Linked DNA regions of Oryzias latipes. The protein of the gene in region 1 purifies or fractionates together with the protein of each later gene. This does not show direct contact. Links are inferred from orthologs where the notes say so. Each region holds a gene or a part of one and is shown on either strand. Other genes may lie near its edges.

Region 1 (4,584 bases):
CAATTATGTTAATGGTCCTGATGTAAACCACAAGCCTCTCCAGACCTGCACTTTGTCTGTGGCTTCATCTCTGCAGAAGAGTTATCTATTTGTTTGAAATACAATCATTATTTTGTTCCAGAAAAATATAAACAGTATAAACATCTGGGTGTGTTTAGCTTTTATTTTATTGGTCAGACTTGAAAGAAACATTATCCATTTAAATTCAGATGGAAGTTTTTGCAGAAAAAAAAAAAAAGATATGTACGCTCACTGGGCACTTTGTTAGGTACACCCATCCAACTGCCCGGTAACAAATTTGCACTGAGCCAATCACATGGCAGAAAGTCAATGCGTTTAGGCATTCATGGTCAACACAATCTGCTGCAGTTCAAGCCGAGGATCAGAATGTGGAAGAAAGGTGATTGTAGTGACTTTCAAAGTGACCTGCTAGGATTTTTACCTACAGTGATGAAAGTCAGGCAAGGAAAAAATCCCTGAACTTTTCTTTGAGCGATATGGCGGGCACAGAGCGAAATTTTGGAAAAATACGTGGTCTTAGATGCATTCTGGCAACTAGTTATTCACTTCTTTATCAAGAAACTAAGACTAATTGGAGCATCATGATTTGTCATTCAAACCCCTAGTTTGACTCTCCATTAAGGACTTGCTGGTCCTAAAAAAGAATTTGGAAAATTGCTCAAAGTAACACAATCCTACAATCTACGCTTTTCCTTAAAGCTGCAAAACATACAATTGCTAAAATATAGTAACATCAAAGCCCCAAATGGCAAAAAGAACACCAGTAACTATGATATTCTATGAAAATACCTCAGTTATTTATACATTATTTCTGCTTTAGAAATGACTGATGTACAACATCCACTTGCACTGTTTTCTCAAACTATAATTACATCAAAATATGGGATCTGCTTTAAACTATAATTCTATAACATAATACATCAATTCTTTAACACCAATACTAAGTAATCTGGGAAATATCAAAACAAACATACAAACTAAACTAAACATTGTAAACATTATTTTTTAAGGGAGTGCGGGTCCAAACCATCAAATACTTATAATTAATGTCAACTATACTGAACTAAATCATGGTAATTAGGAAATACAAATAAATTAGATAGAGAAATGTATTCAAAATAAAAACTGAAACTCAAAACTAAAATTGAAATTATTTCAAAATGTGGTTTTGAGATTATTTTACACAAAAAAGTATTTGACCTACACTACCTTAAAAATCTTTTTTTTCCAGCCAAGACCACTTCAATTTGTTTTTTATCGTCTTCTCACAACTGAGGTCGTGACCACGCTCAATAATGACGATGCCTGCCATTATTTTAACACAAATTTGATCGCAAACTCTTCAGATGTGTTTGTGAAAATTTAGCGTGGGTCCGCCAGTTTTGGTCTCTAGGGAAGCGAGTCACGCTGACCACGTGGTGCAGACAGAGCCAATCGGACCCGTCGACGCATCCGAAAGCAACTAAAACGTCCCGTCATTGGTCAATTAGGCCGGGAAGACGAGAGATGGCCACGACCATAGAGGAAGCGATCTGCTGAGAAATATAGAAAATAAAGCTAAAATTAGCTGATTTCAGACCATTTTTTAATCCGGAAAGCGATTTGTCCGTAGAGATCAGGTCTTTATTTCCCGGAAAGTACGTTCGGTTTGCTCAAAAACCCGGATTTCCGGGAATTCCCGGAAGACTTTCATCACTGTACCTACAACCATCTCTAGGGTTTGTAGGGAAAATATCCAGTGAGCAGCAGTTTTGTGGGTGGAAATGCCTTGTTGATGTCAGAAGAGAATGGCCAGACTGGTTCCAGCTGATAGGAAAGTAACAGTAACTCAAATAACCACTGGTTACCAAGTTCTGCAGAAGAGCATCTCTGAACGCACAACACGTCCAATCATGAGGCAGATGGGGTACAGCAGCAGAAGACCTCAACGGGTACCACTCCTGTCAGCTAAGAACAGGAAACTGATTCTAAAATCGTGCACCTTGCCTGGTATGATTAGTCTCCATTTCTGCAGCAACATTCAGATTGTAGTGTCAGAATTTGCCGTCAACAACACGAAAGCGTGGATCCATTCTGCCTTGTATCAACAGTTCAGGCTGGTGGTGGAGGTGTAATGGTGTGGGGGATCTTTTCTTTGCACACCTTGGAACCCTTAGTACCAGCTGAGCATGGTTCCAACACCACAGTCTTGTTGAATCTAAGCCACAAAGGTTTCAGGCAGTTGTGAAGGCAAAAGGGGGTCCAACACGGGACTAGCAAGTTGTACCACATAAAATTGGCCAGTAAGTGTAAATATTCAACTATGATGACCTGGGGAAATCGAGACTGTTTTTGTTTGTTTTGTTTTGTTTTAAGCCTTAAACACGAACATAAACAAGGAAACTACAAGTACCACACATTACAATACATCCAATGTGTTTCAATATATGCTTTTTTTTAAATTGAGAGAATGGGTACAAGATCATGTCAGCACGTTGTTACCGTTTACAGATGTCGTCAGCCGTCTCCTTGGTAAACACTCGCTCCTGAAGCACGTTGTTGAGCGCGTGAATGGCGCACAGCTCCAACCGTTGCTTCTCATGAAACACCTCGGCTTCGCTCATTCTATCGCTTTCCGTTTCAAACACAAAAACGTGGACGTCAACAAAACCAGAATACACACGTCACTCATGCTAGCTAGCATCAGATATAATATGAGAGGTTAGCACCAGCTAGTACAGTAGTTCTTATCTTCTTACCTGAAAAGAAGCTAACTATGACACCCTGGTGGAAGTTCACCAGCTGGCCGCTCAAAAAGTGGTTTAGAAAGTAGCAGCAGCGCGAACTATTGTCACGCCATTACAATGAAACGGAGCTCGTTACCTGCTGATAAAGCAAATCCACGTTTTATTGACGCTGGAGTCCGTCAGCTACATCCAGAAACCGGAAGCAGAGTCTTTGTCGTGTTGTTGTTCTACAAAAAACACGCCCCCATGCTTAAAGAGTCCCACAGAGCAACACCGAAACACGAATTTTCTTTTATTTACCAAGTACATATAGCACTAAATAAACGCAAAAAAATATTTCTGGTAGTCCGCGCGATTGTTTTTAATGTTTTTAAGCAGGTCAAAATAGCAATAATGTAAGCTTGCAACGTCATCTAGTGGCAGCTTTATTAATTTCAGTTGTGGCAGAGAGGAGGTGAAGACAGACTTTCAGATATTTTTTCTCTAAAAGAAAAACAATACACATTTATATTAAAAAATAAAACACGAAATATTTCATATGGATTATTGTCTTTCAACTTAAGAATTTTTTTGATGGAGAAATTACTTGTGATGATATTCATGAATGTTGATGATAATGTTACATTTTCCTAGAATGCAACATGTCTACTATATCTGTGATTGACTGGATAACATCATATTCAGTGAAAGCAAAACTGCTCTGAGCAGGAAATACTGTGTTCAATCCAAGAGATACAAGTTGATAGCCATTACAAAGGCAGCAAAATGTAAGATGAAACTCCATTGTTGAACCTTTCTGTTTTGAGTGAACACATTTCAGCCATACAGGACCAATGAAAGGAGAGATATTCATAGAACAATATTTAATAACAAATTAGATAATTTGAAGATGCCATGAGCACTCCATCAGTTATTTTTTAGTCTGATATTGTGTCAGATGTTGCTATTCTGAACCTTTTACAAATCTTTTAATGTATGTTATGTGTTGAATTTAGAACTGAAGTTGTTCTTTGTCAAAATTGTTGAATGTTAGTGTATCATGTTCTGATTTTTTTTAAAGTTATGTCTGTTGTCTCATTTACAGTGATTTCTGTTGAGCTTTGTAGAATGGTAATAAAAAGACCTTCTTATCCTCTCCTACCTTCCTTTTGAGATTAAAAAAAAACCCTGTTTTATCTACATTGTCTCTATCAATGTTGTGTCCAAATTGGTTACCATTCCCAGTTATATGTTTGATTTTTGCACAAGAGGTCCTGAGGACACTATTGGGTTATCTGTTTGTGTGCTATTTTGCATTTGGCGCTGTTTCTTCCTTCATAAATGCACAGGAAACTTTGAGATGTACAAAGACCTGCATAACATTTTTTAAAGATTTCTCACAGAACATAAGCCAGTTTTGAGTACAATGTTTCAAAATCAAATTGTGCAAAAACAAGCATTAGATCACAGCAATGCTAAAATAGCGTTCTATTGTCTGATAGTTGCGGGGTTTGTTTTTATGTTCATAGATATTTAGGACACACCACTAAATTATTGGTATTTGTATGATGGACAGTCATTTAATATTATTATTGGCCTACAATTTTTTTTGTTAGTCCAAAATCCTGCTCCAAAACCAGGAAAGCTGTCCTCAGGTTGAGGCACCATGTTTATTGAATGCCCTTATCCTGTCAGTGTCCCTGATTGACTCTGTTGTGTCCTTTTATAAAAAAGCTAACATGCATTTGTTTAGGAAAGGTTAAAAGTAATGAATGTGAGTGTATGTGGTTGTGTGGCTCAGACAGTCCAGGGTGTACCACACCTGGGGGTAGTTAGAATAGACTCCAACAACCGCCAC
Region 2 (3,500 bases), on another chromosome or scaffold:
GTCAATCACAGCGAGGGATGTGTGTTGTGTTTACTAAACATATGATAACCGTTGTGTTCACAACACAAACAATATCCGAATAAATTAACATGACGAACTTCTTTTTAGAAGAACAAAACAACTTAAAAGACCCAAACTGTCAGGTTTTAATTGTTTCAAGCTGTTAGACATTTTGTTGCTTTAACCCAGTAAAAACAGGAGTTTTTTTGTTAAAATTCATCTTCATTTGTAGTTTTAAATGCCAAATAAATGCTAAATATTAAGATTGCATCCATTACGGTAAAAGACTTGGTCTATATCATATTTCCACAAAGTTACTTGAATCTGAGATGCGTATTGAGTCATGTGAGAGGGAAATATACCCAACTCTAATATGCAGTCATGCACGGTTTCATGGGACACGACCACAATACTGATAGATGGGATTTCTGATTCAACAAATTGTAAACTAAATTCAGTCAGTCAAATTTCCAGCCTGACCCATTCCTTGTTCGATTATACAGTTTTCACATAATTAGTTATGCAAGATAATAATTTTATTAGTTAAATTAAGAAAAGTTACTTTAAAAAAAGGAGGCAAAGCTGCTAATTTGCCTAAATGTCAAAGAAATTTCTATAAAGTCCCTTTTCAATGAAAATGGTGTTTTTGGTGTTTTAACATGTACATATGTGGTTTTCTGAGGACATGTATGACAAAAATCACGCCTAAATTCCATTTCGGAGTATTTATTCTGATTTTGCTGAACATATGCAAAAATGCGCTGGGCATGCCACATGCTCCCCGCTCCCAGCAATGAGGAGAGGAAAGGAGGCGGGGCTGCTCCACACCAACAGCCACGCCCACAACTCTGAGGCACATTTCTAATGAACTACTGCCGCTCTGCAGAAACTATGTCCTAGAAAATGACCGGCTAAAAACAGCATAATCGTAATTAAAAGATTGTAACAATTTAAAGTAGATCAAGAGATATCTGTGCTTCTTTAAAACTATATATATATAAATAAATCATTTTACTTTTTTTGGGTGAAGTTTGATTCATTAGTTTACCTGCATGACACATGGGTCAATCTACAGTCATTTTGACAACCATGGACTTGTCAATTTAGAGAATGCAACACGTTAACCAGGTTTCCCCCTGTTTTTTGCTTCTTGCAGTGATCAGCTGCAGTTTCTCTCATGTTTCGCTGGCGGTAAAAGGATTGTTTGCCTGCGTCACTGTCAGTGTTCTGGCAGGTGGAGTGAGACAAAGGAGAGTCTGTGAGAAAGGCTATACTGTAGCTCTCTAGGGCAAACCCAGGAGCCAGCTGTGCTGGAACAGAAACTGTTAAACCACGTGAAAAGGACAAATGGTGCCTTCTTCCAGTTATCTTTGTGAAATTGGGGATGACACTGCCGTCATGTACCTGTCCTGCACCTGAGAAAAGGGTGTGTAGTTGGTCGTGCTTTGTTTATGCTCCCAAAAATGAATACAAATTGAACGACGAGATTTGACTGAATTGTAGAAAAAGATTTTTTACATTAAAAGTAATTAAAACAGAATAAAGGTGGAACTTTTTAGTAATAAATGTAAAAGCTCTTACATTCTTAAATAACTAAATGCAACTATTTTTCTGGAAGAGTAGAAGTAATTACATTTAAGATCCTCTCCGATCCTCTTTTGATTTATTGTCAGTGATTCCAGTGGTCTTTCAATTATGATTTTGCAGTTTTTAGCCAAAAAAACAAAAAACCTAAGTCGTTTTCTAGGACATAGTTTCTGCAGAGCGGCAGGAGTTCATTAGAAATTCTGGGGCGGAGCATGGAGCTTGTGACCCATCCAGTGTATTTTTTTTTTACGTCACAAATACAACCATATTAAACTGCATTTTTTTCATCTGCTCCTGATTTACAGGGATTTGAATAACGTAACCCTCAGTACGAGGGTTACGTTATTCGACGATTCATAGATTTTAAATTTTTAGGTTTTCTTTTTTTAATCCAGCTTTTAGGGTGATTTCACATGGGAGTGGTGCTCTCATTCCTGAAGGTTTACTGCCCCTACAGGAGGCATCAGACTCTATGCTTATTTAGGATCTTTGCCCCACACAGGTCACATCTTAGGGCAGAAGGGGGAGCCTTTAGTTTTTAAGAAGTGAACAGGAAAAAAAAAAGAAAAACTGAAAAGCATCCAGTTTTCACTAACTTGTTGTGCTGCAGCTTTTTTTTTTTTTTAATCTGGGAAAAAAACTTTGTTTTTGTTTGCAGCTGCATCGTACACGGACAGCTCTGATGATGAGACCTCCCCTCGGGACAAGCAACAGAAAAATTCCAAAGGCAACGGAGATTTTTGCATCAAAAACATCAAACAGGCCGACTTTGGACGCAGGGAGATTGAGATTGCCGAGCAGGGTGAGTTGGTCACGTCATTGACCGATCGGACATCATTGGTCCGATTGGTCAATGATGTAAAGGAATCCATCTGATTGGTCAAATGCATAAAATACTTCAGGGTAAAAATAATCCAGAACAAATTTTCCCTCTGAATACACCCAAGAGGACCCTGGTCCGGGTCCAGGAACTGCTCATCTTAGCCAATAACTGAAGAGATCTTTATTCACGTGGTTTTGTTAACAAGCGTCGGTCCGGAACAGAATGGTCTACTTGATGCCAGTCTGAAAACAGACCAAACGATCCGGACCAAAGGGTTCATCCCATCCGAAGACACCCTGAAATGATGCAATCAGACCCGCTTTCCGATCACCTGATCAGTTTAGATATCCCTAAATTAAACAGGCGCAGCAATGAGATGGCTCCCAAGGGACCGTCAACAAAGAGCAAACTCCTGGAAAAAGTGATTAAAAAAAAAAAAAAAGAATTCCACGACTTCTTAAAAGACAAACTGATTAAAGGTTGCATTGATATAAGCCAGTCATGAATACTCACAATCATATTCATGCTACAACAACAGTTTAGGAAGAAATTCTTTTTTTTAAAGAATTTTCAATGAATTTATCATTCAATCATACTGAAGATCCTAAAGTTATCATCACTAAAGTTTCACACATGACTAATTATCACCAATTTCACTAGTTATTAATTAGTTTTTTTTTCTAGTTCTATTTTTTTTACTTTAAGCGACTTCATAGAAGTGCTCTGTTTGAGTGTTAAATGATCCAAATAAAATAAAAAATTGGGAAAAACCTGGATCTGTTTATTAGATTTTTTTTTAAATCAGAACTCAGCAGATGCATCAAATTAAATAGCCATAAAACCTGATCAGGACATCCCTTCCTTTTTTCTCTGTTGTGCAAATCGGCCACGTCAAAGGAGCAGCTGGTGGCGCAAATTTACCAGTCGGTTTCAATTAAACTGTTGCAAATGGATTTTCAAAGTGAAGCGACAAAATAGTGACGAGCAAAGTGGCTAAAAAGCGTTTTTCTGTCTGTACAGATGTGTATGTGACCCTGCCTGGGAAACCTGCTGAGCAGCCACATGCTACCTTAAAAAACAAACAAAAAAA

The links. Proteins that work in one complex are often made in the same cells at the same time.
Region 2: the proteins of josd2 (region 1) and putative adenosylhomocysteinase 3 purify together in Homo sapiens (affinity purification with mass spectrometry; 3 studies listed by BioGRID and IntAct, counting the BioPlex papers as one, with this or other methods). This does not show direct contact. The link is inferred for Oryzias latipes from reciprocal best matches to the Homo sapiens genes JOSD2 and AHCYL2.

Annotation. Positions count from the first base shown.
Region 1 is NC_019874.2:19,500,039-19,504,622, forward strand, and holds the start of josd2 (josephin-2), read right to left. Parts: upstream 2,992-4,584; 5' UTR 2,884-2,991; exon of another isoform or gene 2,760-2,883; intron 2,632-2,759; 5' UTR 2,625-2,631; coding exon 2,503-2,624; intron 1-2,502. UniProt on the Homo sapiens protein: Cleaves 'Lys-63'-linked poly-ubiquitin chains, and with lesser efficiency 'Lys-48'-linked poly-ubiquitin chains (in vitro). May act as a deubiquitinating enzyme.
Region 2 is NC_019881.2:6,482,016-6,485,515, reverse strand, and holds part of putative adenosylhomocysteinase 3, read left to right. Parts: intron 1-2,245; coding exon 2,246-2,389; intron 2,390-3,500. UniProt on the Homo sapiens protein: May regulate the electrogenic sodium/bicarbonate cotransporter SLC4A4 activity and Mg(2+)-sensitivity. On the contrary of its homolog AHCYL1, does not regulate ITPR1 sensitivity to inositol 1,4,5-trisphosphate.